7 linked regions of the Rattus norvegicus genome follow. The protein of the gene in region 4 interacts with the protein of the main gene of each other region in a biochemical or structural test. Links are inferred from orthologs where the notes say so. Each region holds a gene or a part of one and is shown on either strand. Other genes may lie near its edges. The genes, in order: Stub1, Siah2, Nedd4, Psmd4, Ubqln1, Prkn and Btrc.

What was found.
Region 1: of the proteins of Psmd4 (region 4) and Stub1, one has a biochemical effect on the other in vitro, tested with the Homo sapiens proteins (5 studies listed by BioGRID, with this or other methods). The link is inferred for Rattus norvegicus from reciprocal best matches to the Homo sapiens genes PSMD4 and STUB1.
Region 2: of the proteins of Psmd4 (region 4) and Siah2, one has a biochemical effect on the other in vitro, tested with the Homo sapiens proteins (2 studies listed by BioGRID). The link is inferred for Rattus norvegicus from reciprocal best matches to the Homo sapiens genes PSMD4 and SIAH2.
Region 3: of the proteins of Psmd4 (region 4) and Nedd4, one has a biochemical effect on the other in vitro, tested with the Homo sapiens proteins (4 studies listed by BioGRID). The link is inferred for Rattus norvegicus from reciprocal best matches to the Homo sapiens genes PSMD4 and NEDD4.
Region 5: the proteins of Psmd4 (region 4) and Ubqln1 form a complex in vitro, tested with the Homo sapiens proteins (6 studies listed by BioGRID and IntAct, with this or other methods). The link is inferred for Rattus norvegicus from reciprocal best matches to the Homo sapiens genes PSMD4 and UBQLN1.
Region 6: the proteins of Psmd4 (region 4) and Prkn form a complex in vitro, tested with the Homo sapiens proteins (6 studies listed by BioGRID, with this or other methods). The link is inferred for Rattus norvegicus from reciprocal best matches to the Homo sapiens genes PSMD4 and PRKN.
Region 7: of the proteins of Psmd4 (region 4) and Btrc, one has a biochemical effect on the other in vitro, tested with the Homo sapiens proteins (2 studies listed by BioGRID). The link is inferred for Rattus norvegicus from reciprocal best matches to the Homo sapiens genes PSMD4 and BTRC.

The regions. Positions count from the first base shown.
Region 1 is NC_086028.1:15,354,778-15,358,716, forward strand, and holds Stub1 (E3 ubiquitin-protein ligase CHIP), read right to left. Parts: upstream 2,783-3,939; 5' UTR 2,680-2,782; coding exon 2,518-2,679; intron 2,097-2,517; coding exon 1,898-2,096; intron 1,815-1,897; coding exon 1,649-1,814; intron 1,616-1,648; exon of another isoform or gene 1,484-1,615; coding exon 1,396-1,483; exon of another isoform or gene 1,213-1,395; coding exon 1,156-1,212; exon of another isoform or gene 1,070-1,155; coding exon 953-1,069; exon of another isoform or gene 875-952; coding exon 749-874; 3' UTR 501-748; downstream 1-500. Other genes in the region: Jmjd8 (jmjC domain-containing protein 8), read left to right, coding at 16-83, 163-297, 376-456. UniProt on the Homo sapiens protein: E3 ubiquitin-protein ligase which targets misfolded chaperone substrates towards proteasomal degradation.
Region 2 is NC_086020.1:145,078,876-145,083,158, reverse strand, and holds the start of Siah2 (E3 ubiquitin-protein ligase SIAH2), read left to right. Parts: upstream 1-1,483; 5' UTR 1,484-1,721; coding exon 1,722-2,141; intron 2,142-3,670; exon of another isoform or gene 3,671-4,283. UniProt on the Homo sapiens protein: E3 ubiquitin-protein ligase that mediates ubiquitination and subsequent proteasomal degradation of target proteins.
Region 3 is NC_086026.1:82,344,795-82,347,468, reverse strand, and holds part of Nedd4 (E3 ubiquitin-protein ligase NEDD4), read right to left. Parts: intron 1,304-2,674; coding exon 1,231-1,303; intron 553-1,230; coding exon 450-552; 3' UTR 1-449. UniProt on the Homo sapiens protein: E3 ubiquitin-protein ligase which accepts ubiquitin from an E2 ubiquitin-conjugating enzyme in the form of a thioester and then directly transfers the ubiquitin to targeted substrates. Specifically ubiquitinates 'Lys-63' in target proteins.
Region 4 is NC_086020.1:185,294,402-185,298,559, forward strand, and holds the start of Psmd4 (26S proteasome non-ATPase regulatory subunit 4), read right to left. Parts: upstream 2,801-4,158; 5' UTR 2,730-2,800; coding exon 2,704-2,729; intron 1-2,703. UniProt on the Homo sapiens protein: Component of the 26S proteasome, a multiprotein complex involved in the ATP-dependent degradation of ubiquitinated proteins.
Region 5 is NC_086035.1:6,442,940-6,447,239, forward strand, and holds the start of Ubqln1 (ubiquilin-1), read left to right. Parts: upstream 1-1,500; 5' UTR 1,501-1,666; coding exon 1,667-1,819; intron 1,820-4,300. UniProt on the Homo sapiens protein: Plays an important role in the regulation of different protein degradation mechanisms and pathways including ubiquitin-proteasome system (UPS), autophagy and endoplasmic reticulum-associated protein degradation (ERAD) pathway.
Region 6 is NC_086019.1:52,202,232-52,205,731, forward strand, and holds part of Prkn (E3 ubiquitin-protein ligase parkin), read right to left. Parts: intron 3,123-3,500; coding exon 2,959-3,122; intron 1-2,958. UniProt on the Homo sapiens protein: Functions within a multiprotein E3 ubiquitin ligase complex, catalyzing the covalent attachment of ubiquitin moieties onto substrate proteins. Substrates include SYT11 and VDAC1.
Region 7 is NC_086019.1:254,295,364-254,298,863, reverse strand, and holds part of Btrc (F-box/WD repeat-containing protein 1A), read right to left. Parts: intron 2,438-3,500; coding exon 2,206-2,437; intron 1-2,205. UniProt on the Homo sapiens protein: Substrate recognition component of a SCF (SKP1-CUL1-F-box protein) E3 ubiquitin-protein ligase complex which mediates the ubiquitination and subsequent proteasomal degradation of target proteins. Recognizes and binds to phosphorylated target proteins.

The sequences.
Region 1 (3,939 bases), on a different chromosome or scaffold from region 4:
CAACTGACCCCACAGGAGCTGGATCTGGGGTACCCTTCCACTGGCATGGGCCTGGTTTCTCAGAGGTTATCTATGGTCGGAAGGTCAGTGCAAGGGTGGGGCATGAATTTGGTGTTTGTAGTCCATAGCACATGAGAGTGACCTTAACATTCCTGCCTCCAGCGCTGGTTCCTCTACCCTCCTGAGAAGACACCTGAGTTCCACCCTAACAAGACCACGTTGGCCTGGCTCCTGGAAATATACCCATCTCTAGCCCCATCAGCTCGGCCTCTAGAATGTACCATCCAGGCTGGTGAAGTCAGTAGCTGGTAGGTGGGGGTTGGGCTAACCCAAAAACTAGGGAATCAGACTATTTTTCCGTGCCCCTTCTCCCAGGCGCTGTACTTTCCTGATCGGTGGTGGCATGCCACACTCAATCTGGACACCAGTGTCTTCATATCCACTTTCCTTGGCTAGCCAACAAGCGACTGGCAAGCCCACTGCACCAGCACATGCCAATGTAGTGCTCACAGACTTTATTACAGGACAGTGGCAGCAGCAGCAGCAACCCACCCTCACCAGCTCTCCAGCCCAGAAGGGAGACAAGGGAGGCTCATGGCCCAGCAAGGGATATGCTGAGAAGGGGAGCAGTTCAGAACCCATCATCAGGACCGATGGGGGCAGGCCCAGGGACACAAACTATATACAGGGACTGGAGCTTCTGCCTCCAGACCCTCCTGGGCCAGGGTGCCAGGCAGGACATGGGGTATCAGTAGTCCTCTACCCAGCCATTCTCAGAGATGAAAGCATCAATGACTTCCTTCATGGCTAAGTTGGGGATGAGCTGTTCCTGGGTCAGAGGGCTCCGGGTCACAGGATCGAAATGGCCCACGCGCTGCAACGACAGAGTCAAGAGTATTCAATGGCCTGAGTGTCCCCTGATCCCAGTCCCGAGACCACAGGCCCTCCTTACCTGCAGGTGCTCCTCAATGTCCTTGCGGTCATAGGTGATGCCACTGGGTGTAATGCAGGGTTCCCGCATCAGCTCAAAGCTGATCTTGCCACACAAGTAGTCAGGGATATCTCGCTTCTGCAGCACAAGAGGGAAATGTCTGCAACTGGAAAGGAAGTCACCATACCAGAGCCTGCCCATGAGCTTCAAGGCTCCGTCCTTACCTTTCTTTTCTCATCCACCTGAGAGAAGAGCTCATTCATGTCCGCCATGTATTTATCCTGCAGAGTTGAGCGCCATGTGTGGGCAACTCCTGTCTCCTCCACACAGACACACACACTCTGTCCACCGGGGCACTCATGTCATGCATGGGCCAACAGAGCCACCATAGGCTGGGGCACTTCTCATGCCACACACAAAAACACACACACAACGACCCACATGTGGACTAGGGGCACCCTCACGTGCTTGGCCTCAATGCAGGCCTGCTGGGCCCTGATGTGGCCATCATCCTCATCACCCTCGTGGTTCCGCTGACACTCTTCCAGTTCCCTGAGGGTCAAGAAAAAGCCAGCTGGTGATGGCCCCAACAGGGAAATGACAGATCCCTTCCCATCTCAGGCCTCTTTCCTCCCGGGCTTCCCATGTACCGGCTGCTGTCCTTTAATAAACACTTGCACTGTTGACTCGGTGTTAACTGTTGGGGGCGGGACCCACCTCTCTCGCTCAGCAGCAATGAGCCTGGTGAGATAGGAGTGCAGCTCACTCTCCTGGTGGATGCGCCGTTCCTCGATACTGTTCCAGCGCTTCTTCTTAGCAATGCGAAGGGCACTAGGAATATCATCCCCAAAGTTGAGTCGCTGCTCCTTGGCCAAACTATAGGCTGGGGGAGTGGACACTTTAGGTTACACTTGTCAACAATCCTGGCCCCAAAGGTGCCCACAATCTGGCATCTTGTCAGCCCACCTCGCTGCAGATTGGCAATGGCCTCATCATAACTCTCCATCTCTAGCTGGCACTGCCCCAGGAAGAAGTGCGCCTTCACAGACTGCCCATCCAGCTCCAGGGCTCTCCGGCAGTCAGCAAGTGCCTGTTCAGGCTGCTGCATCTTCAGATAGCACAGGGCCCGGTTGGTGTAGTACACTGCCACAAGTGGGTTCCGGGTCTGGGAACCAAGATCAGGTGACAAAGAATGTGGGCTCATCTGATCCCCTCTCTAATAGCAAGCTGAAAGCCAATGATCCGGACAATTCTCCAGCATTGGGGGCCCATGGGTGGAAGAGAGGAACTGGAGATTTCCGAGTTATCAGAGCTCTGGATTCTAGCCATGCTCTCTTGCCTCCAACTGTTTTTGAGAAAAATCCCAGAACCCCTCCACCAGCTTTAGGCTTGGGAGCCTCAAGGGGCAAGAATTTCTGGTGTCATCCTTAGCTTGCCTCAATCAAGCATCCCGCCCGCCAGTCCCCAGTCAATCTGCCCTGGATTCGGGAACAGCAATCCGGGTCTAGGCTGCCAGAAATCGTCCGGGAATCACAGAACTGGGAGGCACATCGGGCCCCGCCCCCGCCCCCGCCCCCCGCACTCACGATGGCGCGGCCGTAGCAGGCCGCCGCCTCCGGGTACTTGCGGCCCACGAAGAGCCGGTTTCCCTGCTCCTTGAGCTCTTGCGCACTCGGGCTCTTATCAGGGCTGCCGCCGCCACCAGTGCCCAGCCGCGCGCCGCCCTCCTTTTCCTCCTTGCCCTTCATGGCGCCGCGCGGCACGGCTTGGGCTCCGCGCCCGGCCACCTAGATCTCGCAGCCCGCGCAGCTATCAGCTCCGCCCGGTCGGCGATCCGCCACCGGAACTTCCGGTGTGGGGCGGGGCTGGCATGGGGACACGTGAGCAAAGGCGGAGCCTCGCGGATTGAGCGGGTTCGCTTAGCCCGGAGAAGCTACCGCTGCGCTCTCTACCGGCCCCGCCCTACAGTAACTAGGACCTACCCTCAATATTCAGACCAAGGCTCCGCCCATTGGCAGTCAAGCCCCACCCTCCGGCCCACGCCACGCGAACGTGGCAGCGGTCCGTGCTGGAGAAGTGGCGCTCCGAGGGCCGGTCACTAGGCCCAGGTCCTAGCGCGCCACCGGGGCGCACGCGGGCTCATGCGGCAGCCTGGGAACGTCTAGACCGCTGGTAGGACGGCGGAATTGAGGGAAGGAGAGAGGCCCGCAGGTCAGACCACCCTCGAGAGGCTTCCTCGGGAATCGGGAGAAGCTGCCTGCGGCCATTACTGGCTGAGAAACAAGCACGTGACGCGTTGACTCGAAAGGACCTGCTGCGGTTGCTATAGAGGTAGCTGCGGGTCCGCGGCTGGACGCTCCCCTTCTGCGGTCATGGGGCGGAGCTTCTTCAAGGGCGGTGCCAGCAGGTTTCCGTGGAGAGAGCCTGCACCAAGACCCTTTGACCCCAGGTCTGTAGATGAGGCATTTTTAGCCGCTGCTGCATCAGCTGTTGGCCGCTAACATCCCCCACCCGGGACTTGGAGAAGCAAAACTCGGCTTTCTGCCGATCTGTGCGCCGCAGTCAAACTTCGCTGCGTGGTTTCTGCCACTGCCTCGAGTGAGTAGGGAGCATCTTTGCACAAGTTGGGTGGGGGCTCTAGGAACTCAAAAAAAAAATGTCCCCAGAACCTCCTTGTCACTCTTTGCAGTGGCTACAGTTCCTGGCTTGCTAACGCTGCAGCATACACTCAAGTACTACTTGCTGTTTCTAGCCCAGGTGCAAGAGCTCACTGCATTTCTGAGCAGGGGCCTGAGGGGTCACCCAGGACCCCATCATGGTTCCGATGGTTAGTAACTCGACCCCAGAACTCTTGTAGATCTCTAGTGCCTTAGAGCTGTCTGTAGACGCTTCATCTTGTGAAGAGAGCACTGCAAACTTGGACTATGGGCAGATGTATGCCCAGACCTGCTGCCTGAACTTCACCCCAACTGGTTCTCCCATAAGGACTATAGACCTGCCAAGAATTA
Region 2 (4,283 bases), about 40 Mb from region 4:
TGAAAGTCACAGGGCACTGTTTCACCCTGTCCTGACTAATCTGTTTTACCTACAAAGAGTAAAGCTTTACCAATTTCAGTGTCATCAGTTCAAGCACAAAACTTTTGTCCAAGCAGGATATATCCATTATATCAAAATACGGCTTGCTCCAAGCTCTCTGGCTCCTCTCTGACCTCGATGGGTTCTGAATGGTGACTGCCTGGAGACTAGGGGAACCCTTGTAGAATTCTCTTGTTGCTTGATCGGAAGGTGGGGTGTAGATGCCCCCTGCCCCACCCCAACACCCCCTTAAGGTTTAATTTTTATTTATGGGCATGTGTGTATACGATGTATACTGGTGCCAAACGGCATCAGATCCCCTGGAGCTGAGGTTATGGGCGATTGTAGGTTCTGGAAACCAAAGTTTGGTCCTCTAAGAATAGTACGTTGAGGCATCTCTCCAGCCCCTGTAGGTGCCCTTTATTCTACACCTCTAAGTCTACATCTTACTTTACACCTCTGAGACAGTCCACATGTCGGGGTGTATAAAGAAGACTCAGGAGGAATCCAGCACCAATCCTGTCAAGCTGAGGAGGGTTGGTAACAGGTACGTTGAACTCACAATCCTTTACCTTCCTCTTAAAGCCCCAGGTAAGCTTCAAAGCCTAAGGCTTGGACCAGGACTAGATATTAAGGACTCAGATAGTAGAGGGTCTCCTGTCATTTTGGGCCTCACAAACCCAACCCACGTGTATGGTATTCCTTGGAGATTTTAATTCTCCACCGAGCCAGAGATCTCCAAGAGGTCCGGGTTCTCTTGGACCGGAGGCGGCCAAATAATTCCAAGAAGCTTTCGCCAGTGGGCTTTTGAAGGAAAACCGCGGGTTTACCTCCTAGCCTTAAGGGCAGGACCACTGGAGAGTCTACCCTCATACCTAACTGCCCGGCCACACCCGAGGCCTTCGCGCGGCTCCCGCCCGACTCCGGGTCCCGCCCCCGCGTGTCAAGCTACGGGCTGAGCAGCAAGATCGCAAGCTTCTCCGGCGCGTCAATGACTCAACCCTAAAAGAAACGTGGGGATTCCGAGCCCCGCCCCTGCCCCGCCCCACCCCTGGCGCACTCGCGCGCCGTCCACGCCCACGCCGGGCCAGCAGTTGCCCTTCTGGCTGGAGTCCTGTGCGCGTCGGTGTAGGTCCCCTGGGAAGAGTCGGAAGACTTGGGCTGCGTCCTCTCCCTGCGCTGCCGGCTGGCTTCCGCCACCGCCGAGAAGCGACCCCGCGCGGCGGCGACCGACCGAGTCAAGTGTTCCCAGCGGGAAACCGCTCCGGCGCTGCCAGCTGGGCCGGGCGGAGCTGCGCGGGCCGCAGGGTGGCTCTGCCAGTCCCAGAGTGCCGGGTCGGCCGCACACGTGTCTTAGCGTCACGTCCGCGCGCGCCCCCGGGGCTTGCGTCAGCTGCGGCTCCTGAAGCGGGTGGGCCAGGGCTTTGCGCACCAGAACGCCTCCGGAGGAGGGCACCGCACGGCCGCGATCCCCGAGAGCGTCGACCACTCCGGGCGCCGCCGAGAGGATCGGCGCGGTCGCGTCCCCGCCCTCCCGGTGCTGGTCGGGTCCGCGCCCGGTCCCCGGACTGGGCGCCGTGGCGTTACCCCGGAGCCCGCCACCCGCGGGGCGCGCACCGCCTTAACCCGGGCGGCCCCGCGGCAGGCAGAAGCCCGCAGGTCCATGGTGGGCTCGGAGCGCGATGAGCCGCCCGTCCTCCACCGGCCCCAGCGCTAACAAACCCTGCAGCAAGCAGCCGCCGCCGCCTCAGACCCCGCACGCCCCGTCCCCGGCTGCGCCCCCGGCTGCCGCCACCATCTCGGCTGCGGGCCCCGGCTCGTCCGCGGTGCCCGCCGCGGCAGCGGTGATCTCAGGCCCCGGCGCCGGCGGCGGGGCCGGCCCAGTGTCCCCGCAGCACCACGAGCTGACCTCGCTCTTCGAGTGCCCGGTCTGTTTTGACTATGTCCTGCCCCCCATTCTGCAGTGCCAGGCCGGGCACCTGGTGTGTAACCAATGCCGCCAGAAGTTGAGCTGCTGCCCGACGTGCAGGGGCGCCCTAACGCCCAGCATCAGGAACCTGGCTATGGAGAAGGTCGCCTCGGCAGTTCTGTTTCCCTGTAAGGTAAGTCCAACCACCATCCGCAAATCTGCCAAGGAACCTTCCAGAGTTCCAGTGCCCTCCAGCGCACTTGAAGGCCCTGAGAAGCGAATGGCATATCACTGCTTTCCTTCTTTCTGTCTCCTTCTCCATGTGTCTGTCTCTCTAACACTCTCTCTCTCTCTCTCTCTCTCTCTCTCTCTCTCTCTCTCTCTCTCTGTGTGTGTGTGTGTGTGTGTGTGTGTGTGGGTGTGTGTGCCTATTGTTAACCGCCCACCTGTCCATTTTGGGAACTAGCAACTAGGGTTGATGTTTGCCAGAGCACTGACTGTAGATTAAGTTGGCACTTGCTGCGGGTTAGAAGCATCCCAGCTCTTTCAACCGAGTGCCGCCGCGTCCCCTGCAGGGGTGTGCTCTGTAAGGCTGGACAGCTTAACTAAAACTGGGAAGCTGACCGTGTAGATTGTGGAGGAAGGACACGGACGGTTTCCAGCAACAAGCATGGTTAGGAATGGACCCAGTGCCCAAGATCTGGGAGCTCTCTTGAGAGTGCGCTTACACAGGGGAAGCGGATACTGCCTGCTTCACTCGAGTGCGGAAAAAATCCTGCAAGCCACGCCTTCTCGCAGCCTCCCAGACTTGGGGAGAACTCTGAAATTGTGGCTGCTGTTTGGGGTTTGGTTTGGTTTGGTCTGGTTGTTGTTTATTACCTAAGCGCGACCACGAGGACTCATCGAGGACACTCAAGAGCTTTGTTAGTTCTCTTCAGTGCCAGCATTTTATTTAAAGAGTTACCTGTGCTCCTGGGGAGTAGGGAGGAGAAGCAAACCACAAGCCAAAGTGCAAGCTCTCATTCCCTTGTTCCACCTGTTCGTTTAGAGCCTACATTTACACCCGCACAGCTAAATTAATAGAATCGTTAATGTCTGCCTCTGAAAGCTTTTTTAAAAGTACCCACAGAGATAATGTTTTTTCCCTTTTACAACCAGCTTTACAAATTAATATCCTCACCTGTTTCATGTCTGAAACTTGACTTGATCTTCTGTATTTTAAATGATAGGTTACATTTGTGTGGTTATACTGTTGCCAGTACTGAAGCCCTTAAAAAAAAAAAGCCTTACAACCTCATTTATATGCCTCTCTCTAATCTAGACCTCTACCAACGAGTTCATTTTCTAAAGTTGTAGGTGGGAATAATGTTAATATTTCTGAGATTTTTTTTTAATGAAAGTAATTGTTCTACCTGAGACAGTTTAAGTTGTCTTGCATTATCTCCTCAGTGGTGATTAGTTTTTAGGGCAAGATCTGTTTTAAACTAAAAATAGCTCACTGGAGATTTTCATTTTAGACTTCCGAGTCAAATCAGTAAAATGAGTGAGTTACTTTGGTCTTCTGCCCAACTACAAGCACAGTTAAAGTAGCTTATTTGAATAAGGGTTTGAATGAGGGTTTAGGCTATAGGGTCACCTTATTAAATTGCTTGCCTTTAGCCTCACACCCGGTACTGCTTATTAATTCACTCAGTGCAGCATCTGTGCAATTTGAATTAAATATTTTCATGCCTCCTCCTTTTATTGAAAGTAGATTTTTTCCCCTCCTATAATACAACCTGGTTACAGTCGGTCTGCCCCCCTTGCTCCTCCCAGTTCCTTCCCACCTCCCCTCCCATCCAGATCCACTCCCTCTCTGTCTCTCATTAAAAAAGAACAAGCATCTAAGGGATGATAAAAATAACATAAAGACCAGGAAAAGGCACAAGGAGTCAAAGACCCCCTTGTTCTCACATTCTGGAAGTCATAATTTATACCCAGAGGACCCTTGCAGAGGTCCTTCAGGCCCTGTGCAGGCTGTGTGTCAGGGTCTGTTCTCCATCACTGTGGGTCACTCAGGATGAACTCTTTCTAGTTCTGTTCATCTGCATTCTTCTTAATGGCTGAGTAATACTCCAACGAGTAAAAGTTCCACGTGTTCTCTATCCATTCTTTAGAGAGCCATCTAGGCTGTTTCTGACTTATGGTAATTATAAATAGAGAAACAATGAGCGTGTTTGAACAGGTGTCCCTGTGGGAGGATGAAGCACCCTTTGGCTGTATGACCAAGAGTGGTAGAGCTGAGTCTTGAGGTAGATCATTTCCCATCTTCCTGAGGAACCACCACACTGATTTC
Region 3 (2,674 bases), on a different chromosome or scaffold from region 4:
ATAAGGTACACTAGGCAGGTCTACAGAGTAAGTAAGCGACACGTGGTACTAAGTGTGTCGCGGTTTATGAATCAATCATTAAAGACTTTCTTTGTCCAAATTTCATCTTAAAAAAGCGTCAATTTTTCCCACCAGCTACTCATTACAGATATTTCACAGTTGGAATCTCAGTAGTTTTAGAAGGATGTGCCTAGCAAGATGAAATACGGTCAGAACTCAGGCACACAGGACTCACATCCTGCCGTACACATGAACCCCAACAACTGGACAAAGGAACAAGTCAGCGTGGTGGTGGCTGAAATCATGGATAAACAAACTGTCCTCTGGACTCTTGAAGAGCCAGTGGCCATCTTTTAGAAGTTATCTGGAAAATGCTAAAATGTGATTTTGTTTTTGCTTTTGCTTAGGAACTATGGTGTATAAGACACCACAGCTTGGTTTTTTGTAATCTAATCAACCCCATCAAAGCCCTGCGTGTTCTCAATCGCCATCTGAAGTTTATCCCAGAGTTCGTCAAAGGATTCATAGGGTGGCAGGTCCAGGCGGTTGAAGCTGAAAAGATTGAGAGAATCTGGTTAGGATTGACAGTGAAGGGGGAAACGTCCCCATGGTAACCACAAGACCGCTGCTGCCTGTCAAGAGCGTGTTCCATCACTGCATTCTGAGGTCACAGCTGCCAGGGAGGCTCTCCTGACCCCCTGTGCAATCTTGCCCTCACACCTGTCTCCAGATGACTGGGTTCGTAGATCATGATAGCCTTTAAGACGGAATGTTCTAGCACTTTGGGGAAAAGGTCAATACTCATGGAATGGAGAAAAAAAAAATATATATATATATATACATACATGTATATATATATAGCCAACTAAACTAGTTGGGCCTCTATTTCTTTTAAGATTAATTTATTTTATGTATGAGTACACTGTAGCTGTCTTCAGACACCAGAAGAGGGCATTTAATACCATTACAGATGGTTGAGACCCACCACGTGGTTGCTGGGAACTGGAAGTCAGGAAGAGTCAGTGCTCTTAACCACTGAACAAGCTCTCCAGCCCAGGGCCTCTATATCCTTAGCTACCTGAATTTTGAGCCCAAGCAGCATGGGTTTCAGGATCCATGTTCCTGTCCCTTCCTGTCTCTCCTAAGGCTGCCACACACCTGTATAGTAGGAGTGGCTCCTATGCCAGCAGCAAGGGACTATGTCCTGTCTAGGGTAGAACAGCTACTCACCAGGTATGTGCTCTGGGCAGCTTATCAGGGGTGCCCCACTGTTCCACTGTGAAGGACTGTGGTCCATTTGAGCCTGTGGAGAAGACAAGTTTCTGTGGTTTAACTTACTTTACCCACAAGTCCCTAGACAATTCAAAATACACTTTTCCATATATAAAACTTGTACACACAGAAAACGAATCAGAAGAGAAAATGAAGCCTCCCCTGTGCTAGGATTTACTGTTGAGTTATAAAACTGTCTGTCACTTCACCTGAGGGTGCTGTGCTCTGCCCCACTGTGGCACACTAGGTGGCACTCAGCGTTTTGCTAGACCTGACCCAGCTGCATCTTGAATCAGGGCTTTCTTTACAGGTACAGGTACAGGTACAGGTACAGGTACAGGTACAGGTACAGGTAGGAAGGAAAGAAGGAAGGATGGACGGACGGACGGACAGACTTCTTGCTTTTGATTCTCATTGAAACCAGTTTTAATTTTTTTCCCTGATTACGTAATGCCACTGTAAAAACTGAAAAATGACAGAAAAACCATAGCTGAAGGCTGTGAGAGTCATTACAATCCTAGCTCATGAGGTCGCCGTGGGGAGGGTTTTGTGTGGTTTCTGTGTGGTTTTGTTTGATTTGTTTTTCAACATTTAATTTAGGGCCTCCCATATGCCATGAACACACTTGTTACTGAGCCAGTCTTAGCTTTTAAGTATTTTGATTATAAGTATTTATTATTTTCTCCGTATCTAAATGTGCATGTGTGGAGGTCAGAGAAAAACCTGTGGGAGTTCTCTCTGCACCTGTGGGTTCTGAGGACTTAACTAAGGTCATGAAGCTTGGTGGCAAGGGCTGACCTGCTCAGTCATGGGGCAGGGCGTCTTTGTCTGCTGTTCAAGACTGGGTTTTGCTCTTAGTCCAGGCTGTGCTGGAACTCACAATGTAGCTGAGGCTGGCCTCAAACTTCTGTCAGTCTCTGTACTTCAGTTTCCCAAGTAGTGGGACTCCTGAGTCTTCCTGAGTGGTTCTCACCCTTCCTCATGCTGCGGCCCTTACTTAACACAGCCTCCCACTTTGTGCTGACTCCCAACATAGGGTTGTTCTGTGGGTACTTCATACCTGTGATTTTGCTAGTGGTATGGACTGTAGTATAAATATCCAACATGTGACACCCCTCCAGGGGTTGCCACCTACAGGTTGAGAACCGCTAGCCTAGAGCAGTTTGTGTGCATGTGGCCCTGCTACACGGTCTACAGTTTTTCTCATTACAGACATTTTAGAAACTGCCTTTCTTTTTCTTTTAGAGTTTCCACTTAGCTGTCTCCAATCCTCAACATCTCAAGTGCCAGATAAGCCGGCTCACATTCTGATCTGTGACTTTTCCACTCTCCTCCTCAAATCCCATAATCAATTCCAAATGTGCACGCATCATTGCCAGAAGGTTTTCAAGAGGCGTAACTT
Region 4 (4,158 bases):
ATAAAAACTTGGGCTTAAAGGTATTACCCAACCTTCCCATGACACCATAATTTTAATCCTGACCACAGCTGGGAGGAAGTTCTGTGGTGGGGTACTTGCTTAGCATCAACAAGGCCCAGGGTTTGATCCTTACTCAGTCTTGCAAAATCAATTAATCTGTCAACACAGGACAGGCAACAGAGCATGCCTGTAGGTTCAGCTACTTGGGAAGCCAAGGAATGAGGACTTCTTGAATCCAGGATTTGGGGGCAACATACTGAGATCCTCTCACTCTGCCCCTTCCCAACCTCAGTCTCCCTTAGAAACAGGGTGAGCTTTCTATAACTGAAGATGAACTGATTTTCCTGAGTCTACCTCCTAAGTCCAGGATTACAGGTGTGGGGCAGCGCGTCTGACCTGAGCTAACATCTCTATATAACAACAATAAACACAACAGTGAGCTCTAGGCTAGCTTTACTGTCCAAGTGTAATGCCGTGTATAAAAAAACTAACAAGAGAATCTGATTCAGCAGATTAAGGCTAAAGTCAAAACACTTGCATTTTAGAATAGGCCCCTACAGAGAATCCTGTTGCCTGGAAATGCAGGACACCTCAGAAAACAGGAGGGTGGGTCTCCTTCTTCTGTTCCTGGGCAGTCACATTGACCACTAAAGTCACGGGTCCTAATCTTTCCTTTCATGTATCAATCCAGTAATTTTTTTTGAAGCAGGACCTCAATATGCATTCCAAGTTGACCTCAAACTCATGATCCTTGTCTCAACCATCATTTATAGGTGTGTACCACATCTAGTCAGATCAATATTCTTAAATCAATACCAGTCTGTACAAAGATCTAACTCCATCACCCTCAGAATCTCCTTATTGGGGTATAGAACAGAGCTCAAGTCTTCAGACATGTCTTTCTACAGTGACTTCTCCCACCTTATAACAACAATCTGTGTAAAGGGTCACTCTGGTCTATTTCTCCAACATGGGACCTTTACTTCAGCAACTTTGTAATGACCTCTCCTCCTCAACATGTCTCTTTACACCTCTTAAATTTTGAGGACTTCCCACACACCACCACCACATACGTACGGCTTACCTACTTATACTATGAGACACAGAAGTTACTACAATTCTCCCACAATGTGCAAAACCTAAGTGCCAACCAGCAAACAGTTTGAATTCTAAATCCATCTTCTTTTTAATACTCTCTCCCAGAAGTGAATACTTAGAAAAAAATACAGGACTTAAGGTTAAATTTTAAGTTTCAGGTGAATAATGAATGACTTTCGAGTTTTATTTTTATTGTTTTTAGGTATGTTTGCATGCACATCTACAGAGATCAAAGGCACTGGCTCTTCTGGTCCTGTCAAGAAGGCAGCAGTGAACAGTACAGTACGGGTGCTTGGAACCAAACTCTAGTTCTCTGCAAGACCAGCAAGTGCTCTTACCCACTGAGTCGCCTCTCACCCTCAACAAGTAACTCTTTTGTTGTTTTTGTTTTATCATCTTTTTAGAGCTGTCCTAAAACTTGCTCTGAAGACCAGGCTGGCTTCAAACTCACAAAGATCAATCTGCCTCTGCTGCCCAAGTGCTGGGATTAAAGGTGTACACCACCACTGCCCAGCTCCCACAAGTAACTTGTAAGAGCAATATTTGGGTTGCACTTAAAATTCCTTTTTAAGGAGTTGGGGATTTAGGTCAGTGGTAGAGCGCTTGCCTAGCAAGCACAAGGCCCTGGGTTCGGTCCTCAACTCCAGAAGAAAAAAAAACCTATAAAAATTCCCTTTTTATACTAAAAAATTACTCTTGATTTGCTTGAAATTCAAATTTAACTGGGCATCCTGGTTGTCTTGTTCTGAGACAGAATCTTGCTAGGTAGTCCTGATCATGAAAACCCTCTGCCTTGCCCTCCAAAACAGAAACACGAGCCTAGGGACGCTGGCTTATAATCCTACATACTCATCCCAAGTTCAAGGCCAGCCTGTGTATCTTTTCAAATAAAGACTTCAAAACCAACCAGAACTACAGTGTCAAAACTCCATCTAAAAAAATAACGATGACAATAAGTACAATCTAGAAGGGGTGTGGCTCATTGGTAGAGCACTTTCCCAGCATTCACGATGCTCTGGGTTCAATTCCCAGTATCTGAAAACACAAAAACAAAGCCCTCTTGTAGCCCTGAAAAAATATGTTCTCAGCTTTACTTATTTTTCTTGTCCTCAGTTTCTAATCTAACTCCTAATAGGTACTCATCCCAAGTGTAAACTTGGTAAGAACTAATTCATCGGAGAAGAACACTGTAGTTTTGAATTTGACTCTTGCTCATCACGACCACTTAATTGGCTGTGTGGCTACAGCAGATCACCTAAAGTCCTTCAGACTCGTTATGGAATGAAGGACTATTTTCCTTGAATGCTGTTGTGAGGTTTACGTGAGATAAAAGTACAGAGAAGAGGAAAAACATTGGAGGCGAGTGGAAGGGGCGATTGGCGTCTGCTTTACGGGAGACAGGGAAGCAGGGTCCAGGAAGGGAACCAGGGTTCCCGGGCCTGCGTTCCTGGGCCGGGATGACTCAGGGAGTCGCCTGCCTGTCTCCTGCGGGCCCCAAAGCCACATCTCGCCCGGCCGCCCAGTCCCCAACCCAGGCCCTCAGGCTTCGGCGCCACGCGCAACAGCAACCCAGACGCGCCCCCGGCCACGTCCGAAGTTCCTCACCAAACCATAGTGCTCTCCAACACCATCTTGCCACCTTTCCTTTGCGGACCGGCTCCGGGACTGACAAACAACAGCACCTCCGATTGGCCTGGCGCTCATCACCAATCAAAGAACTCAGTCTTCACGCTGCCCCGCCTCTGCCCCGCCTCCGCCCCGCGGTGCGTTCTGGGACTTGTAGGCGTCGTGGACATGTAAGGGTTGCTCATCCAGTTGAGTCGGTTACCTTAGCAGCCGCTTGCTTCCGGAGCAGCTAGCTCTTAGCTCTCTGCACAGGTGTGCAACCTCTCTGCACAGCTCTCGCCAGGCACCAACATTCTGCAGTGGAAGGCAGGAGAGCTGTAATTTACCCCTCCTCTGCTCTCTGTATATGTTTGGGTTTTTGTTTTGTTTTTGTTGTTACGGTTTGAGAAAGGATGGCTGCAAATTCGCTGTGGAACTCAGGCTAAACTGATCTCCTTGCTTCACCCCCGTTTACATGGTACACCATCATACTTAGATGTGATCTGCAATTTCCAGGCCAACCTGGGCTACATAGCTACATAGTGAGACTGCCTGAAAAACACATAGACACACACGTGTGCATGCACTACTATGGATATGTCAGTTCAAGCATAATCATTTTGACAATGTGTCAGGATCGTTAATCACACTCTTAACTCCCTGTTTCCCATTGCACTGTGTTTATGCAATTGCTATAAACACTTGTACCCTCAAATTTGATTTATTTACTGCTTGCGTTTTTTTTTTCTCCCTGCCCCCTCTACTGCCTGCGTTTAATTAAGTACAGAAAAAAAAAATCTTTGCAGTCCCTATCTCTAGTATTGACTCTGACAGGATGAAGGAATCCAGAAAAGTTTTGACCAATTTTTAAAAAAAAATTTTTTTTTTAAAATCTAAGTGTGGGGGTTGGGGATTTAGCTCAGTGTTAGAGCGCTTGCCTAGCAAGCACAAGGCCCTGGGTTCGGTCCCCAGCTCCAAAAAAAAAGAAAAGAAAAAAAAAATCTAAGAGTTTGTGTGTGTATTCAGGTGCTGGCAGTGGCTGAAAAAAGAAAATCAAATCTCCTGGAACTGGAGCTCCAGGCAGTTGTGAACTGACTATCTGAGTGCTGGGAACTGAACTCTGGTACTCTAGGAAAAGCAGTGAACACTCTTAAACACTGAACCATTTCTCCAGCCCCCAATGAACACCATGTACTCACCCAAAGAACAGAGGAAAAACCAGCAAGTTATCTTGGTTTGTTTGTTAATCAACACCTTTAACACCAACCCCTGGGAAGCAGAGGCAGACAGATAAGTGGGTTCAACAACAGCCTGATCTACATAATGAGTTCCAGGGTAGTCAGGGTAGTCTTATATACAATAAGACCTTGTCTGGGGGTCAAAGAAAAGAAGGCCTGTTGGAGCTTGCCTGTGATCTCACTACAAAGTGGAATGGCTACAAGGTCAAGGTCATCT
Region 5 (4,300 bases), on a different chromosome or scaffold from region 4:
ATTCCATACAAACATCAGTAAAGGTTATCTACAGCCGCTGTATTAGAGTAAAGAGATCGGGTTTCTAAAGGGCAACAGAATGAAGACTTCCAGGAGGTGGGGGATATGATGTGAGATCACAGAAAGTTAGGCAGGGAAAGGTGTGAGGGGGGCGGAAGGGGGGGATGTCATCATAGAAGGCAGCCTAGGGAAGTACACAGGGAGAATACAGCAGGAAGGAAAACCAGTCAACAGAGGAACTAATGAAGTTGGAAGGAGATTTTATATATATAAACATGAGAAAATTCCAAAATGCTTGCTTGCTCAGTGGTGGAACTTTCTACCCCAAGAACTAACAATTTTCTCACACCTAGACATAAAGCTTGTAACTTCTTCCTGTGATCGAACAACGCTGACAGAAATGTAAGTGATATCAAGTGACACTTGGGTCGCCATTTACCTTCGAAACTCTGACCCAGATTTCAAAGGGCTCTGCTAAGAAGTGTTTATGCAACAGTAGTTAATCATAGAACAGGGTTTGATGGCCTAAGAGCAGAACTATGGAATGTCTTTGCATATTAGGGTCACGGTACACTGTCAGAGTTCACGTTTGTGCAATGTTGATTAACAAAGTGCCGGACTGTATTACATGCTATCTTTGCGAATAAAGGATGTGGGAGTCACTTGTGAATGACTTATTTGTGCCTACATTATGCTGAAAATAAGTTTTCAACCATTATCCCTGATGCGAGCTGCACAGTAACGTAATGGGACAGAATACAAAAGGCACACATCAGCTGGGCTTAACTCCTACCCGTTGGGTGGACAGTCCTAGGCATTCTGTTTCTGCCCCCACGCAGCTTGGAAGACAGACAATATGGGTTGTCCTGTCTTCTGACCAAACCTGTTTGACTCCATGGAGGGAAGCTCTGGCCTCATTGAAACAGTGAGCGCCTGCGGTTGCGCTGGTGGCTCACTGGCGTCTGTTTCGTGTTCCTTTGAAGACCTTTCACCATTGGCTTAGCTTCCAAGCCCTGAGCACAAGACAAGGCAATCGTAACTCCTTCCACCCGGGCAAACACTACGCTTATTAAAATAAAGTAACTCGCCGCTATTTTATAAGCCAACGCCCACGGGGACCAGGTCGGGAGGATACCGGGACCGAGAGCAAAGGGCCAGACGTTTCTAGCAATTTCGCTGCCCGTGACGTCATCTTAGTGCACCATCATGGCGTCTTCCATGAAACCCCTGTTTAAATGCCTTTCAAAGAAGAACGGGAGACGCGAAGTGGGTTAAGTTCCCCCGCTGTGCCCAGCGCTCCTTCGACCTGGAGGAGCCCGCGCTTCGTCCGCCGGCTAAGAAAGGAACGAGCGCCGCCAGGCCATGAGTCGGCTCCTTCGCCAACGCGCTACCCGGCGTGCCTCGCGCAGCCGGCCGCCAGGAGTCGGCGCCGCGGCCAGCGCGTTACCCAGCGTGCCCCGCGCGGCGCCCGGCGACGAGCGTGGGGGAGGTGCGGGAGGAGGAAGCGGCGGCGACGCGGAGAGTCCCCGCGTCCACACGGCAGCCGATCGCCCACCGGGGCCTGCACCCGCAGCCCGCGTCTACGCACCGTCGGTGGCCCCGCAACCTGTCGCGCCCCGCGGACCCGGCCGCAGCCCCCAGTGTCGCGCTCGCCTGAGTCACCGCCATGGCCGAGAGCGCAGAGAGCGGCGGCCCACCGGGCGCTCAGGACAGTGCGGCCGACAGCGGCCCCGCAGAGCCCAAGATCATGAAGGTCACGGTGAAGACGCCTAAAGAGAAGGAAGAGTTCGCTGTGCCCGAGAACAGCTCGGTCCAGCAGGTGAGGGCGCGGGCCAGGCGGTCGCTGCGTCGCCGGCGGGGCGGGGAGGGCGGCGAAGGGGCGGCCTGGCCGGGCGGCGGCCCCGGGGAGCTCCGGTCAGGTCCCGCCGGGTTCCGCTGCGTGAGCTGTGCGGGGCCGGGACGAGTGAGCCGCGCGGCCTGGGCTGGGCTGCGCCGCAGCCGCCGAGCTCCGGGCCCCGGGACCCCAGTCCTCACAAAGGAGCCGGGAGCTGCTGGGAGGCAGGGCGCGGGCGTCGCTCGGCCTTTGACCAGGCTGGGTGGGGGTCATTGTTTTACCTGCCTGGGAATTGGAGAGGTTTGGGGGCGAGAAGCACGTGGAGGGCTAGTTCTCGGTTTTGAATGCTGAACTCTCCCCCACCTTTCAGCCTTTTATTATAAAAATTATGACGCGGAACTTGTTTTCAGTCACACTGTACTAGCTCACGCCTGAAAGGAAAAAAGTAAATGACTTTTTGATTCATAGGCGACTTGCTGCTTCTGTGAACAATACTTCCGTCATCGCTTAGCTGCCACTCATTGGATAGGTTTTTGTTTGATTTTTTTAGGGAGATGAGAAGACACCTGACTGGGTCTTAGCGGTTGCAACGGACCGCAAGGAAACATGGTTGATGTTAAGGCCGATAATTGCCTTAAAGTCTATTCAGGAAAACAAATCTTGCAGCTAATTAAGAGCCTTGGTAGAACCTATCAAATGTAGTTTTCAACACGGTCTAGAGCATTTGAATTGTTGACAGTATCAAACATTGTAAACAGTTTTATGCGAGGAAGCAGGGAACAGCCACTGGAATGTACCTGTAAGTTCTCTCAAGGCTTATCTAGTTCCAAAGGTGAAGTCGGTTTCTTTTCTGAAGCAAGAGGATGTGTGGCACATTGAGAGAAACTCTGGTTGACTGAAGCATCATTCCTTGTGCGTTAACGCTGCTATAAAAAAAAGTTTACCGTCTTTATGTTTTCCAGCAGGTGTGTCCGTCACCCACAATTGACATTTTCCTGCGTTTTCTGTATTGGGCATCTCTTACTTCTAAAATACACTTACTATTAAAAATACTGCAAATATCAGTATTACCCTTATAAGGAAGGTAAGCCACATAAATATTAGTGGCTTGAGAACAACGTCTTTGAAAAATGGTATTCCACATGATGAGAGGCGCAGTGATACGGACATGGTTGCCTTGGCTGGTTTCCCCAGCTCCATCTACACCTGTGTCAGCCAAGCAGGCCATAGTGGAGCCTGTTAGAGTGAACTACAGGCTTCCTTCCGTTCCTCTTTTTGTCACCCCTGTAAGGATTGTTTTTCCTACAAGATTGAGTTCACAGAGACCTAGTTGTCTCTCATGTGGTCTTCTGGATAAGGCTTTTTTTCTTCCTCCACTCAGCATAGTTTTTGAGATTCATCCCAGTGAGGTCTGTATCCCTCCCACGACAGAGATTTGCATACTAGGCACAGGCTTCATTCTACCACTGAACCAAGTCCTCAGCTCAGTACTTAACTGCTGAGTGGTTTTCCACACCATGAATGTGCCGTCACCTGCCCAGGGTCATCTGTTTTCAGCTGCAGTTCTTGTGAAGAGCCTCAGGAGTCCTTTTTGAGGCCATATGCTCTGTTATTGTTTAGTTGCTTTTGTTTTTATTTAAAAGACAGGCTTTCACTCTGGAAGTTTGGCTATCCTGGAACTCACACTGTGTAGACCAGACTGGCTTCAAATTCATCTGCCTTACTCATCTGAGTGTTGGTATTAAAGGCATTCACCACCATGCTCTGCCAGTTCTGTTTAGTTTTATAAGAAACATGAAAAATGTGCTATTTTGCAGTTCAGTCTACATCATATGGGTGTGTGCTCCTTCCTTCTGTCTCCTTGTTAATATTTGGTACGAATAGGGTTTTTTCTTTTTCTTTTCTTTTTAAAGATTTATTTAGTGTGTGTGAGTACACTGTAGTTGTCTTCAGACACACCAGAAGAAGGCACCAGATCCCATTACAGATGGTTGTGAGCCACCATGTGGTTGCTGGGATTTGAACTCAGGACCTCTGGAAGTGCAGTCAGTGCTCTTAACCACTGAGCCATCTCTCCAGCCCTGGTTTTTTTTTTTTTTACATTGTAACCGAGTAATGAATGTGTGGACATACTAAATTATGAAGCTCTTGAGTCTTCCTGAGAGTCCCAGTTTAGATTTCCATCTTCCTGGCAGCTTCCACATTTTATTTCAGGACATTAGAAATAATACTTTATAAATAGAAAAATTATTTAGGTGATTATCTATAGGGTTTTTTTGGGGGAGTGGGGAATAGTGACACTAGAATTTTAAATTCCGTGGAAGCTTATGTTTTGCTGTGCTGTAAAAATGTCTTTACTGGGTAAAAGTAAAGCTTTCCTAAAGTAACTTATTCTAATGTTGGTTTATCTGTTTCCTGTGGGAGCAGTAAATGTGATAAAAGTTGAAAGCATACCCTGTCCCCCCA
Region 6 (3,500 bases), on a different chromosome or scaffold from region 4:
CTCAGTTATTTCTGCCTTTAAAATGAGCAATGTGAGACAAAGAAGCCAAATTCTCCAATGTGTATCCTGTGTGTTAACATCCATTTGCCTTGATTTGTTACATTAAAAACTGGACACAATCTAAAGATTTAATAGGTAGATGAAGATATCAACACTGTTAGAATACCATGCATGTGCTTAGCATGATATTATGTTAAGGAAAACAGTCTTAATGGATGCAAAATCGACTCACACTCATTATGACTTGACGCAAGTGTCAGCCATTCATAAAGGCAGGGGCTAGTCCATGTGGCCGAGCTTGATAGACAGCATTTCTCCTCTGAGAACTCTCCAAGTATGTCTGCTTCCTTTCAGTGATAAGTGGAGCTGAACATATTACAGAGTCCTCTGTCACTTTCACCAAATTCCCATTGCTTATAACAGAAATTAAAAAAAAAAAAACTTTGTGTCTATGTGTACAGTGTTTATATGCACAAACACATTCGTGTGTGTGTGTGTGTGTGTGTGTGTGTGTGGACAAGCACACATGTCAGTTCCCACCTTCACTGAATTTGCGGCAGGGTGTCTTGTTTACTGCTGCCAGGCTAGCTGCCCTGTTAGCTTCTGATGTCCCCTTAAGAGCACTGGAATTACAAGCAACTGTATAGGGCTATCGCTACGTCAGGCTTAAAGTGGGTTCTGGGATCTGAATTCAGGTTTTTGTGTTTCTGTGACAACCTTTGTCACTGAATGATCCCCTCAGCCCCTAAGAACAGCTATGTTCTGCTTTTATGTTTTAAGTCTCGGAATTTAGAGTCTGTAGGAAAGCCTCAAGAGTGCCAGTTGGGTGGACTGTACTTCCTGACACGCGTCCTTGTCACCGAAATGAGGATACTCATACTGCTTTGTGCTCAGCCCTTGGTGATTGAATCTATTTCACTTGCTGTAAAAGTATTTCTCTCTGGGCAACTATCTGTGAATATTAAATTTGCACCCTACATCCAGACCCAGGTTCCAACGGTTAGTTAAATATCTCTCCATAAATATCCACTCCTCATAAACTCTCAGCACCCCTGGAAATTCAGCTCCCTTCCCATGGCGTTTTATGGAATCCCGTTCACTGCAGGGCCAGGTCTGTCAGGATTCTGTCAAATGCCCTGCCGACTCCATCTTTCCCTCTGTCTTCAGTATCGCCTCCAGCTTCCGGAAGGACGAAGCCCATCTTCCCTCCCGAGGCTGTGGAGGGTGCTGTCCTTCCACCAGAGGAATCCTCATCTGGATTCAGTCCATTTGGGAGCTCTGTCCTGGTACCTTCCCAGTCTGCACCTTTGAAACATCACGATATCTATGGGCTATACAGCATTAACTATGCATAGCATGTGCGTACTATAGGCTGGACCTCATGGCACCTCAATGATTTCATCCTATGTGGTGCTGGCAGACAGTTTGATCTCGAATTCCTTTACTTTAGAGCCCTAAGCGGGTAAAGAGCAGACTTCTGGAATGAACTCCTTTTCACCCAAGCCCCTGAGAAGCTCTGAGCACTGGAAGCTCTAAAAGTGTGAACCAAGCTAATACTGTTGAAACAATGCATAGATTTTTATAAAAATCAGTCCCCCACAGCAGTTAATCTTACTGAATAAGGAACAGCTAACTGTTACACTCGCCCCACCTTGTACAGGCGAAGGGGCTTTAAAATCTAATGGTTCTCATAATAAAGTCTATCTGGACTCAAGAAACAGCTTTAGAACCATTTATTTGAGAAGGAGACCACTTAGGTTTAGAAGTTGGCAGGAATGGCAGAAAGCTTTTTAGTTGACTGAAATAAAAAACAAAATCAAAACACTTCTTAGCACAGGCACTTCCCTTATGAAAACAAATAGCAGGAAAGCAAGGCACAGCAGTTTCTGCACAATGGGCGTGAGTCCTACTGCCACCAGCGGGGGCAGGGAGAATAGCAGAAGTGATTTGCATTTCTATAGTTTCTTTGTACACCCACATTCCAAAAAGCTTTTCACAAAGCAGCGAACACCTCAGTCCACAAGAGGACTGACGGGACTAGGCAGTCTGAGGTCTGAATACAACACAGATCCCCATCCAACTGGGAGCAGGGGCTCAATTCCACCATACACCGAGAGGAGGGAACGAGCTTTTCCCTGCTTCTAATCACTTGAGTAAATGTGGCCATTTCTGCTGAACTTCCCTCCAAAACACTCACTGTTCTCTCATTCTAGGCAACCGGCCTGCGCATCGATTGCTAACCAGTTCCTTGGATGCCTGCAAAACTCATTTCTCCAAATGTACAAGATGCCATAAAGAAGAGGGTTTCCATGGCACAGCAGGGGCCAGATACACAGGAAGCAGAACCCCATGGTTCACTTGGTTCTGTATCGGGGTGTAGGCCAGGGATAACTCTGTATATGCTTGGAGATACGAAGATGGACTTTTGCTGTGTAATTTCCAGGCTGCCTATCCACCGCTCAGAGCCCTCGGCAAATGGGGCCCTGGGCCAGTGTCTGCTGTAGTCCAGGCAGCAGCTGTGAGTGTCCTCCAGGGGTCACAGTCGGGTTGTAAATCCCTCACAGAGCTTGGGCTGAGCAGCCTTATAGGGAACAATTTATTTGAATCCTTCTTCATTAAGATTCAAATGGAATAAGGAAGGTAAAAATTGAACAGACCCAGAAATTGTGCCTTCCTGCTCCCTCAGTCAGTAAACATTTATTCACTAAGCCGAGCGCCTGGCTTCTTTCTCCCCCTCTTGGCTCACTCACACTTGTTCCTCCAGTCCTTCCTGCATACTGTTTTAATGCATAATTAAGAAGGTCAGAATTAATGAAGCCGTGTGGAGTAAAGTTCAAGGAATCCCCAGGCACTATTTATTCTATTAGATCTCAGGCATGAATGTCAGATTGGCAGCATAAACTGCAAGGGCCTTGGCCCTGGCTACATCCCAGGGACCACCCACCCAGGGAGACTCACCTGTACTGTCAGGTGATTCTGCAGCTCCTTCCCAGCAAAAATCACTCGCAGCTGGTCAGCTGGAACCCCCTGTCGCTTAGCAACCACTTCCTTGAGCTGGAAGATGCTGGTGTCAGAATCGACCTCCACTGGGAAGCCATAGCTGGAGTTGAACCTGACAAACACTAGACAAGACCAGGGGCAGAGAGAGAAGAAAGAACATTACTCCAAGCCTTTAATGGCCAGTGAAATGTCTCTGAAGCCTCTTGCCCCTCACCTGCCCTCCAGTGAATGACAAAAATTTTCTCTCATTTATAACAGAGAAGTTTATTCTATAGAGCAATAGTTAGAAAAAAAAAAAACAAAAAACAGAAACAAAAACAGTTTTCCCAAGGTGTTTCCTGCTTATACCCTGGCCAGTGACCTGCAAACCAAGACTGCTTTGTGCCTTTCACAGTCCTTCTGGAACAGAGGGAATCAAGCGGAGAATTTGCTTGATTGGAATCTCGAGATTCCCATGAGTGTATAGAATATTCTGCTCCAACAGACTGAACAAATGCTCA
Region 7 (3,500 bases), on a different chromosome or scaffold from region 4:
CAGCTCCTGCTAGTGCAGTGTGCTGGAGGAGAGGCTGTCAGCATGGACCAGAGCCTTAGAAGTGAGGTTGCTGGTGGGGTGCCCAGCTGCAATCACAGGAGGGGTGGGGCAGGGGGAACGCTGACATCTGAGGTCGGTTTAAGTCACAAAGTAGGAGCTTATCTCAAAAGGAGAAGAAACTCTCTAAAAGGTTCCTGCTCTAGGGCAGCAGGTGGGGGTTAGCGGCACCATGCTTGTGTGACGCCCTGGGTTCAATTCCCAATACCAAACCAAAATACCCAGAAACATAAAAAAAAAAACAAAAAAACCATGAAACCAAAATAAACACAAACAAAACAAAATCACAGCACACCGAAACTCTTCATAGTCTTTAATACAACAATTCTACTTTGGGTGTTTTTCTTCTGAGACTGTCTATAAATTAATGCATAAGAATGTCTACCATGGTATAATTTATACAGAGAAAAATTAACAAAGGGTAAAGAATGTATTCACACTATACAACCTACTATTGGACTAAATCATTTAAAATAACCCACACTTAGGAAAATAGGCTTTAACATATTAAGAAAAGTTTTTAAAAAACAGGCTCCAGATCTATAGGGAAATAAACACACTGATCGGAACTTTATAAGAAAAACAAAGAACTGTGTGGTGGAGTTCTGGGCAACTGTATTCTATATTCTGTGTGTGTGTGTGTGTGTGTGTGTGTGTGTGTGTGTGTGTGTGTGTATTCACATGTGTGAATGGAGGTCAGTGAGCCCCATGGGTCTGCCTACGTCTGCCTCCCTAGGGCTGGGGCTACAAACGTACCCCTCTTTCAGCTCTCTTCTGGAGACTGGGGATCAAACTCAGGAACTTAGCTTCCACACTGACTATTACTGGCTGAGCCACCATCCATATGCACATGTATATGTATTTATACATAGCTGTATTCTGATGTGTCGACGATGACTAACTATTCCCTAAGGAAAGTGTAGCCCATGTAAACCTCCTATTTCCATGCCTGGCAGGGTTCTGGATCACTGTTAAAGAAGGGAGGGGACACTCTGGAGACGCTTACTTAGTGACGGAGTATTTATCTAGTTTGCACAGAATTCGGGGTTCACTTCTTGAAGATTGTGACCTTTCTTCTAAAATATTAAAAAATGCTTTTTAAAAATTAATTCCTACAATAGCATTTTTTTAATGGATGTGGTAGAAGCTAATGCATGAGGACGTTGGTTTTTGAGCCAGCTTGAGCTAGGTAGAGAGACTGTCTCTTAAACAACTCCAACAACAAAATAAACACTCATTTTGTGTGTGTGTGTGTGTGTGTGTGTGTGTGTGTGTGTGTGTGTGTGTGTGTGGTTTTTTTTTGTTGCTAAAATTCACATCCAAATTCAAGTACATGAAAAGAACTGAAAATAAAGCATATAAGTCATGCTTCAAATCTGGTAACAGTTAAGGAAAACACAAAACTAGACTTGGAACTGCATATAGGTTAAACAAAAAAGGCTGAGCAGAGGGTCAGGAGACAAAGTAAAACGGAATTTAATTATGCAGTTTGACTTTTCTTTTATTTTGATGAAGGTATAATTAATGACTTGGTCTGTAACTATCAAAGCAAACAAGAATTTCTAAATTTATTTCATGTGCATTGGTGTTTTGCTTGCACATATGTTTGTATAATAAGGTTGCTGGATCCTCTGAAGCTGGACTTACCGATAGCTGTGAGTTACTATGTGGGTGCTGGGAATTGAACTCAGGTCCTTGAGAAGAGCAACCAGTGCTCTTAACCACTGAGCCATCTCTCCAGCCTCCAAACAAAAATTTTAAAAAGAGAAATGTAGCTAGGAGTGTTACACTTGTAGTCTCAGCAATTGATTTCTTTTTTTCTTTCTTGCCCCACCCCTACCCCCAAAGGGTTTCTCTGTGTAACAGAGTCATGGCTGTCCTGGATTCACTTTGTAGACCAGGCTGGCCTGGAACTCACAAAGATCTACCTGCCTCTACCTCCCAAATGTTGAGATTAAAGGCGTGTGCCACCATGCTTGATATCCCAGCATGTCAGTGCTAAGACAGGACTGCTGAATTTGAGGCAGGTCTTGGCTGCATTGTGAATCTAGGTTATGGAGAAGCAGGGCTGGGGAGAATAAGGTTGAAGATCCAGCTCCATTACTGCTATGGCGAATGAACTCAGACTTTACAAGGATGTGCACATACCTGGCAGTGCAGTTATGAAATCCCTCTGCAGCATAGGCTTTAGATAGGAGTTGATGTGCCCATGCTGGTAATGACACATTTGAGATATAAGGTGTTCTACAAATTCCACTTGATCAGACTCTGACCACTGCTCAAAGTACTTGACACACAGCTCCTTTTCCTTCTCATAGCTTGCTGAGAGTTTCCGCTGCTTGGGCACAATCATGCTGGAGGTGCCATTGGCAAGTTTTGTCTGTTGGAGGGAGGGGATTGAAAGAATCATTTAACAGCAAGCATTGAAAATGAGGGAAAGAGTCTAAATCTCCTTGTCTGGTATGTAACGTGTATCTTTGCAACTGAATTATTCTTGTTGGATTTATTGCAATTGAGTATTTTGAACCATGATCATGTGGAAAGCCTTACAAATACCAAAGTGGAGGTCAATCAGGTATACCGTGGGAAGACCAAGCATCCATTTCTACAAGTTTAATCTACGGGGATACACAGATTAAAAACTGAGAGCCAGATGCATTTAATCATTATTAGCAAGCAAAAAGTTTAATTTGTTCTTTATCGTATGTAGCAGTTATTGGACAGGTAGATAATTAGTTGTTCACACTAACTTTTTTTTTTAAGTCAAATAAGTTTTATACACAAAGAAAGACCAATGAATATTTACAGACCTCACAAAAGTCTAATAACTCAGGCTGGAGAGATGGATCAGTGGTTAAGAGCACTGGCTGCTCTTTCACAGGTACTGGGTTCAATTCCCAACAACCACATGGTGGCTCACAACCATCTGTAATGGGATATGATGCCCTCTTCTGGTGTGTCTGAAGACAGCAACAGTATACTCATACACATTAAATAAATAAATAAAAATTTAAAAAAAAAGTCTAATAACTTATAAGCTCAAGTTAACCTTTTCTTTCAAAAAAAATTCCACCTTCCTGGTTATCAAAAAATTAAAGGCTATACTTTTTAGTAACTGAGTCATTTAATAGATATTTATTGAGTATCTACAATGTATTCAACACTGTTCTAGGTGCCAGGACTACAACAATGAACAAACCCAGCAGAATGCTGTCAGGAACATATACTCTGCCTGAAGAGGTACATATCACTATAATATAAACAGTGCTGCTGAGAAAAGCAGAAAAAATACTAGAAAAGGACTGGAGAAATGAGCTAGCAGGGAAAGAAAGCCCCAACACTAAGCCTGATGACCAGAGATTAATCCTTGGAGTCCACACGGTGGAAGGAGTGAGCCAACTCCTAGAAGGTGTCCTCTGACCTCCACATATGCTCTGCGGAGA